Drosophila melanogaster: one gene and its partner. The protein of the gene in region 2 interacts with the protein of the main gene of each other region in a pairwise test. Each region holds a gene or a part of one and is shown on either strand. Other genes may lie near its edges. The genes, in order: CG14569 and CG4622.

The links.
Region 1: the proteins of CG4622 (region 2) and CG14569 interact in a two-hybrid assay, tested with the Drosophila melanogaster proteins (one large-scale study listed by BioGRID).

Annotation. Positions count from the first base shown.
Region 1 is NT_037436.4:21,730,140-21,733,301, forward strand, and holds CG14569 (uncharacterized protein), read right to left. Parts: upstream 1,412-3,162; 5' UTR 1,383-1,411; coding exon 795-1,382; 3' UTR 586-794; downstream 1-585. Other genes in the region: CG14570 (uncharacterized protein), read right to left, coding at 1-289; CG14568 (uncharacterized protein), read right to left, coding at 2,798-3,162.
Region 2 is NT_033778.4:24,553,214-24,558,520, forward strand, and holds the start of CG4622 (uncharacterized protein), read right to left. Parts: upstream 3,071-5,307; 5' UTR 2,934-3,070; coding exon of another isoform or gene 2,792-2,933; 5' UTR 2,730-2,791; intron 2,359-2,729; coding exon of another isoform or gene 2,141-2,358; intron 1-2,140. Other genes in the region: ITP (Ion transport peptide), read left to right, coding at 2,141-2,358, 2,792-2,933. UniProt on the Drosophila melanogaster protein: Scaffolding subunit of the trimeric nuclear exosome targeting (NEXT) complex, a complex that directs a subset of non-coding short-lived RNAs for exosomal degradation. The RNA exosome is fundamental for the degradation of RNA in eukaryotic nuclei.

The DNA of each region.
Region 1 (3,162 bases), on a different chromosome or scaffold from region 2:
GGCCGTAGACCTCAGCTGGCGCTTCCACCAAAGACGGTGGTCCGTATGTTTCAGGTGGAGGGCCATATGTATCCTCCGGTTGAGGAAATTCAACCGCCTCCTCCGTTGGCAGGTCGAATGGCGGATCGGGGACCAGGCCTGCTGGTGGATATGGGGCTTGTTCCTGTCTTTGCAGAAACCTTCCCGCCGCGGGTCCTGGGAACCTCAGATGACTGCCTTCAATTCCATTCAGGCAAAGAATGGAACAAAGCGCAAAGGTGACCAGAGAAGCACTTGGATAACCGGACATTGTGGTGTGCTGACATGAACTGCTGCATGGGCGGCTAAGTGGCGCCTATAAATACCCCCTAGGAATGCCCTTGGGAACTGCCCAATTCAAACGCCCGAAGAAACCTCGAGGCCGATGACTTATAAGCCAGGTCCAACGATACGTGCCCATGGAGGTGGTGACTAAGGCGCGTGTAAGTACTGGCTGTTATGAAAATGTGTGGTTAGATTTCTTTAAAAGGGAGTGCTTATACAAAATAATTGTATATTATTTTTACACAGGAATAAAAAAAATAATAAATATAACGCTTTCCTATTAGTTTCAGTATGGATTTCATTTTAAATTGAATTTTGTAAGTAATATTTTGTAAATATATTTTCTGTGTACGGTGAGTGCATGATATCGTTAGAATAGATTCCAGCCCTGTATCAAAGACACTAGAATAATTATTCTAGAGTCTTTGCCTGTATGATATTTCCTTAAGTCTGACGCAGTGACGTATTTGCTTACGCTAAAGTTTTAAAGTCTACCAACTGCGACGCAGGATTAGACGCTGAGGAACGGGCCTCTGGGAACGCCGTCCTTGCGGAAATCGCTGGTAGAGTCGGGCGGACTGGACGGACTGTGGCTGGTCAAGACTGCTAGCTACAACGATCACAGTGCCATCCTCAGCAACATCCAGCTGCGGTTCATCCTCCTCGGCGTCCTCATCAGCGGGCTGCAGCTTGGCACCGTCAACCGATGCTTCCTCAGTCTCTGGAATATCATCAGTCTCGATGGGATTCTCTGGTAGCGGCTCAGCCTCGGGAGCAATAGCCGGCACGGAGTCGGTCTCTGGAGGTCCATAAGTGTTATCTGGTGGCCCGTATGTGTTGTCCGGAGGTCCATAGGTGTTATCAGGCGGCAGATAAGTGTTCTCCGGCTTGACAGTCGAACTGGGTAAATCGAAGGGAACACTCGGGGTGATGCCCGCCTCCGGATATCCGGTGGGCGAAGGACTGGGTATAGCCTCCACTTGGCGCGCCAAGAACCTCCGGCGGATCGGCTCCGCGGAGCTCAGCGCCAACAGGCTCAGGACAAGAATAGCAATTGGTGCGCCAGTCGGTTTAAACATTTTCGCGGTTGAAGGGCTTCTGTTCTGATTTCTCGATCCGACACGACGTATTTATAGCCCCAAGCTACCAGATCGAATTCTGCTATAATTTATGCTCGTCACTTTCAGTTTCAGGCTCTTATTCCCGGTAAAACTTTGATTATGTTGCGCTGATCGGCGGCAATGTAGCTTCAGCTTAATACCCGATACGTGACCCTTTTTCGAAATTGATTTTCCAATGCTATGATTTGGAATAGGCCACCCTTTCCCTCCTTCGCAAATCATTCATTAACACTTGGAGTGAGCTGTGAACACTCGAGTTTGTTTGGTTTTGGGTTCTTGGCAGTTCATAATTTTATTTGATGAACTTTGTATTCATGCAAAACAGAATAGGCTGTGAAAAAATCCATCAAGCACGCACTTTTAAAAGCACGTCCCACCCATTTGCAACATTTGGACAGTTTCAATCAGGGTCGATCGAATTCAAAAACAATGTTATTTACTATTAGCTTGGCTTTTGGAACACTCATTTGCCTTACCAAAAATTATTATATTCTGAGCTTTGAGTTTTTATCATGGTAAGTGAAAATCGGGTTAAAAAATATAGTATTCATACTCCTTACTCGTAGAGTAAGATGTGTTGAAAATTATGTAACAGGAAACTTTTCCGACCATATAAAGTATATACATATATGATCAGGATCAATAGCCGAGTCGATCTGGCCATGCCCGTCTGTCCGTATGAACGTCTCGATCTCGGGAACTATAAAAGCTAGAGGGTTGAGATTAAGCTTACAGCTTACAGCTCACAGCTTCTAGAGAAACGCCCACTCTAACGCCCACGAACCACACAAAACTGCAACGCCCACACGTTTGCAAATTGTTTTGACATTTTGCATATTTTTATTAGTCTTGTAAATTTCTGTTGATTGACAAAAAAGTTTATGCAACGCATTTTATTCACCAATATCTATCGATATTCCAGGAAAAGTATGCAAGTTCGCGTTCGCATTTCCACTAGCTGAGTAGTTGGTATCTGATAAGCAGGGAAGCCGAATATAGGATTTCTTGTTTGATACTGCTTGGACAAGATTTTTAATAGATAATAGAGCACAGGGTAACTTGTAGTTGAGACTCCCGAATCACTTTTGTGATTTGATCCTGATTAAGAAAATAAGATCTTAATAGAAAAGCAAATGCGTTCATATATCTGTTAGCTCCAACAACAAATTAAATATGTTTTGCTTCACTAACAACAAGACAGACATATTTTGCAATTTTCAATTTATGACAAAAGGGTGGCTTGAATATTAACGCAATTATTTTATTATTTAAATTAAAATATTCAACAACAATTTATTTAGCGACAAAGTAATAAATGCATATCCTAATGAGTCGATTCCATTTGATTTCTAGCAAATTAGGGTTGACCCATTTCAGATGGTGTACACCAGAACTGATCCAGAGCGGATAATCTGAGCGGATCGAAGCTTCTCTGGGGTCGGACGACGACTGAGGAGGCGTTCGTTACGAGGCTGGATCAAGCCGGCGGGCACGGGATCGGCAGCAGGGGCCTGGTCCACTGGGCCATCAGCCGGCGGTCCATAGGTGTTTTCCGGCTCAGCAGGTGGTCCGTAAGTGTTATCGGGAGGGCCGTAGGTGTTGTCGGGCTCATCTGGGGGTCCGTAGGTAAGATCAGGTTGCGCTTCAGTCTCCGTGGGCAGGTCGAAGGGCACCTCCGGTGTCACTCCTGCTGGCGGATAAGGGGCTGAGGCCGGCGTAGGTGCAATATCCACGGCGG
Region 2 (5,307 bases):
ATCAAAGTGAAATGCAAACAAATTGCCAGCACATGTCGCCGGATCGGAGGAGCAGCTATATGAGCAGCACTTCAGATCGGAGATCGATCAAATATGACGCCGTTCATTGGCTCCTTCCTGCGACGATGACGCCATTCGATCGATCGGCCCAGTCGCCCCGGATCATCCATTCAACCGCTCCTCCAACTTTCCCTCGCCTTCTTCTGCGATACTGAAGCCCCTTTTCGCGGTCCATGTTACATTATCTTCAACGCGGTTCGCATATCAATTATGGCACTCACGCCGGCAAAGAGCGTTAAAAATAGCCGCCTGCAGCGACGATGATGCCATAAATCGTGCAACTCGAAGCCAATTATCACCAGATGCTCAGCCCACAGCCAGCAGCCAAATCCAAATCCGAATCCGAATCCGAATCCATCGGGGAAATCGAGCCGAGCTGAGTCGCCGTACGCAAGCTGTTGCACTTTGCACTGAAACGTCGTCGGGATCTCTGACTAAACGAGTGCTACATGTGCATTGAGTGCAAAGGGTTCCCCACCCGACCACAACTTGCACTCTTTGTGCCCACCACTCGCAGGTAGGGATAGTAGGGTTCATTTGTCTGGAGCTTATTCTACCTTCCAGCAAGTTGAAGTCATAATGTTACAATAGTTGGCGATAGTACAGCGAGCAATTGACTATGACGACAGATGGATGTATTACTCTTGATTTATATATACTTTCGACACTAAGTACTAAACAATGACGACCGATGGCCTGGGATGAGTTATTTATATTCACTACAAAAATATGTGATTGCTTAAAAACATTTGTTTTGTCACACGAGACCGCAGTAATTAAGTATGACGACACATGAGCGAGCCCTTGATATCATCAACCAAAAATATATCAAATAAAGACCCCTTGGTGGAGCATACTTTTAAGCGAGAAGCCTCACTTATCGCGAATAGTATTCATAGTATTCATATAAATATATGAATATTTCGGCGACCGACTGATGAACTTTCTCAGAATTCCGATTCCAATTGGCAGTCCCCCCAAATGCCCCATTCCCCTTCCCATACCCATTTCCATTTCGGTGTTTTCCCATCTCGCGGCCATAAATCTGCGAAAAAATGTGCTCAACTTAATTGAAGACATCAGCACGGCAATAAAAAATCAATTTGCGCAGATCCTCAGAGTCGTTCGCTAAAACAATACGAGTATATTCGTTAGCGATTATATGTGTTTAAATCATTATCGGCACAAATTCGCTTTCATGTTGCTGATACTCTCGAAATTGCTCTCGAAATAGCCGACGTCGTCGTGTCTGCCTGGTTTTCATTCAGCATTTCAATTTTTCACCCGGGGTCGAAGGAATTTCACACATGTTCACACAAACGGCCAATTGGCACAGCGCGCAGTGGAAAAATTTGCGAAAAGCGCGCTGTTAATCAAATTATTCAATAGTTCGGAATGCCACAAATGCGAGTGCATAGATATATATATATATATATTCATATATATATCGCTGTCATCGCTGTAATTCCCGGCGGGCGCGCAAATTGATAAAATATGCAAAGTAAACAAATGCCCATGTTTTGGGGGCCCGTCCGCGTCTGCGTCCGTTCGCAAATTGGCTCTCCTTTGAGCCGCCAAAGACGAGGGCGGGGCGGGGCGGACTTACATCATAAATTAAGCCCGCCGACAGATGGCAAATAATGCAATAAACATTGAAATCGCCGGTGCTATTTATAGAGCGCTCCTGCGATAAGATCGTCTGCGGCACCGACTGCAACTGTTGCCACTATTGCAATTGCACCTTTGGGTGGAGAATGGCATGGGCATGGACATGGGGATGGGGATGGGGGCCCTATTTTTAGCCAGTCGGTAGACGGCTGTCGGACGAGGTCTATTTATAGGGTCTCCGCCGTCCTCCTGCCCATCCGCGATGCGGATCGAGCAGCAGATCGATGCCACCTGGGCGAGAGCTGCCCTTGCCCCTGTCCTTTGGCGGCGGCGTGGAGCTGGGCCGACATCGTGCTGGGTTGGCCCACATCTGCTTGGCCAGAGAGGTGGTCCGGGCAGTTAATTAATCTGATCGCACCTATAAATAGGCATCTATTCTTAACCGTGTTTCCGGTTTCCCACACTTTTGCAGATGTGTTCCCGCAACATAAAGATCTCGGTGGTGCTGTTTCTTGTCCTGATACCAATCTTCGCCGCCTTGCCACACAACCACAATCTGTCGAAGCGCAGCAACTTCTTCGACCTGGAGTGCAAGGGCATCTTCAACAAGACCATGTTCTTCCGACTGGACCGCATCTGCGAGGACTGCTACCAGTTGTTCCGCGAGACGAGTATACACCGATTATGCAAGTAAGTTTCCCTAGGGTCCCACAGCCCCAGCCATACGTACACATACATACATACAAATATCTAACAAAACCACAAAGCAGCATCAGTGTTCCTTACAGCGTTCAAGGCAAGGCCGTCCAAGAAACACTAATTATGATCTTAAGTGCTGGCAGACCCTGACACAAATACAATTGTCGGGGTATCGGAAAATGATCGCGGGACCTTCGGTTGTTTCTGAACTTTATGGGCCCGCTTTCCCCGCTACTTTCTCCTCGACTTTCTCGCACAGAGACCGCTGCCTATTTGGTTTCTTCCATTTGGTCTATATCTCTCTCTCTCTCTTTTTGTTTCACCCTATAGTCACTTAAATATTGTAGTAATAAGTTTATCACCTTTTCGTTTGACTTCCCTCTGTGCGAGTCCTACATCTGTGTTTCTTGTCTATTCGATGCAGGGCCAATTGTTTCGTCCACGAGACCTTCGGGGATTGCCTAAAGGTGCTGCTGATCGACGATGAAGAGATATCGCAGCTGCAGCACTATCTGAAAGTGATCAACGGATCACCCTATCCGTTTCACAAGCCCATCTACCACTAGACTCCTAACTTCGACCACTTTCGTTTCCACTTCCGTTTCCGCTTTCGTTTCCGCAACGACTTCATTTTCCTGATTTCTTACTGCCTTCAGTTACCTTTACCGTTGTGTTTCATTTTGATTTTCGTTTTCAATTTTAGGAAAGACTGCTTTGATTCAAAATGGTTTGGCGAATGCCTGAAAGTGCTGTTAATACCCGAAGAGGAAATATCCAACCTACAGCACTTTCTGAGAGTAGTGAACGGCTCGCCCATATCCTTCAACATGGGGCCGCAAACATAACTCTAAGTCCCCGCCCCACACACCCACAGCCCCAACACACCATACACCATACAGCACACAACAAACAACACACACCACACACAGCTGAGAATCGGTGCGAATATCGTGGGTTGGAACGAGCATCCGCATCCAGATATAGATCCAGATCCAGATCGAGAAACAGTCCCACTACGACCACACATGCAGAGCCAGAACACAGAAATCTAAAATATTAAAACGCCCAAATTTAATTCGTACTTATTTATTACTGTATGCCTTACAGTTTTTACTATATGTGTTTTTTTAAAAACGAATTATTTTTATTAATTTATTGAGAACGTTATGCGTTTGTTGTAAGTAACATAATTGGGGAGTGGGAGATGGGCGATGATGATGATCAGATGATGATGATGATGATGTGCAGGAGGAGGATCGCAGATCTCGCACTCCCCACATATACATAGAAGCCGAAGTATTTATTTTTAAGTATTCTTAGCTTGTTTTATTATTATTGCGTTATGCGGTTTGTATATAAAATAAACAAAACGAAATCCATTGTTTTTAATCTATGTAATGTAAAATGATAACTTTTATTTTTGTATCTGTATTCTACTGTAAAATCAGCATTTAGAGTTTACATTTTACACGATTTTCCGCAAGGGCAAAACTACAATGATAAAGATAAACCCATACGAACACACACATACACACATACACACATACACACACACTCACACACACACATATATACACCGCAATCGAGACCGAAAGTATTTTGCAAATGTATTACACTTACAATTTTGTGCTATTTTGTAAAGATGAAACCCTGAATTAGTGTAAATCTGTTGGCGCAAAACGGAGATATGTATTTACCTATATAGTATATAGTATATGCATACCTATCTAAAGCTAAAGCCTTACATATATCCGAATACGAGTACCCTACACACATGCTAAATATTAGAGAGAAACGCAAGATCGCAATTTGTGCAAGACACAAACAAAAACCTGGTAAAAACACGCGAAGAACGGAACGACTGCATTACAAATGTGGCAATAAATAATACATAATTAATAAAACCCTGTAAATTAATAAAGGATAATCAATCATTCGCTGGCTATTTGAGAGCATCAAAATTGTGATAAATGAGAATTAGAATGCGAATGCGCGACGCAGGACACCGCCAGAGAAAGAGACCGCCATACAGAAGGCGACAGAGACAGACAGACTGCAGCTGGCGATTTGCGCGCGTTTCTGGCGCGACTAAAAACGCCTGCTTACCGTTTTTGTTTTGGTACGTTATAATTTTCTTTTGTTTTTAATTAATTATTTGATTTTTGACCTTGTGCATTCTTGGCTTTTAACTAGCACTCAAGCTAAAAATTTGACCAACTATGCTTTACTTTTTGTTAAATTCCTCAATAATCCTCGAACTGTTGAGCTCGTATTTTTTGAGCAAACAAACAGAACAAGATTTTGAGAACAATAATTTTTGTGATATATTCAACCATACCTGAATATGGCTTTTGAACTTTGGCTCTTTTTTCTTCTGAGCAAGCTATACACCAAATTAAAAAAAATCAGGTTTCCTAATTCCTCCTCCTCCTTTTGTTTTTGAACACAGGCAAGAATGCTTCGGATCGCCCTTCTTCAACGCCTGCATAGAGGCTCTTCAGCTGCACGAGGAGATGGACAAGTATAACGAATGGCGCGATACCCTGGGTCGCAAGTAAAGTGCGATTCTCTGGGATTTTCTGGCACCGTCACTGGCACGAGCAGCTACTTAATTCTATGAACTATTAACTAAAACTATTATTATTGATAACTGTGGCAGAACACGGCACGAAACTATGGCAACCAGGAAACGATCGACCCGAGGAATGTGTACCACTTGAAGAAACAACTAAGCTAACATCTAGCTACAAGAGAAAGCAGAGCAAAAATGTTGAAAAAAAAATTATGAAGACAATTACTAAACTATTACACGCTACTTATCCGCACTTATATCGGAAAGTCTAAATTGGTCTATATGTTATTTCTATCATCTGTCATGAAACAGTCTCGTGGAGCTTTTAGTTGTAGTGAATTACGTAAATTATGCTTATTTCTTTTAGT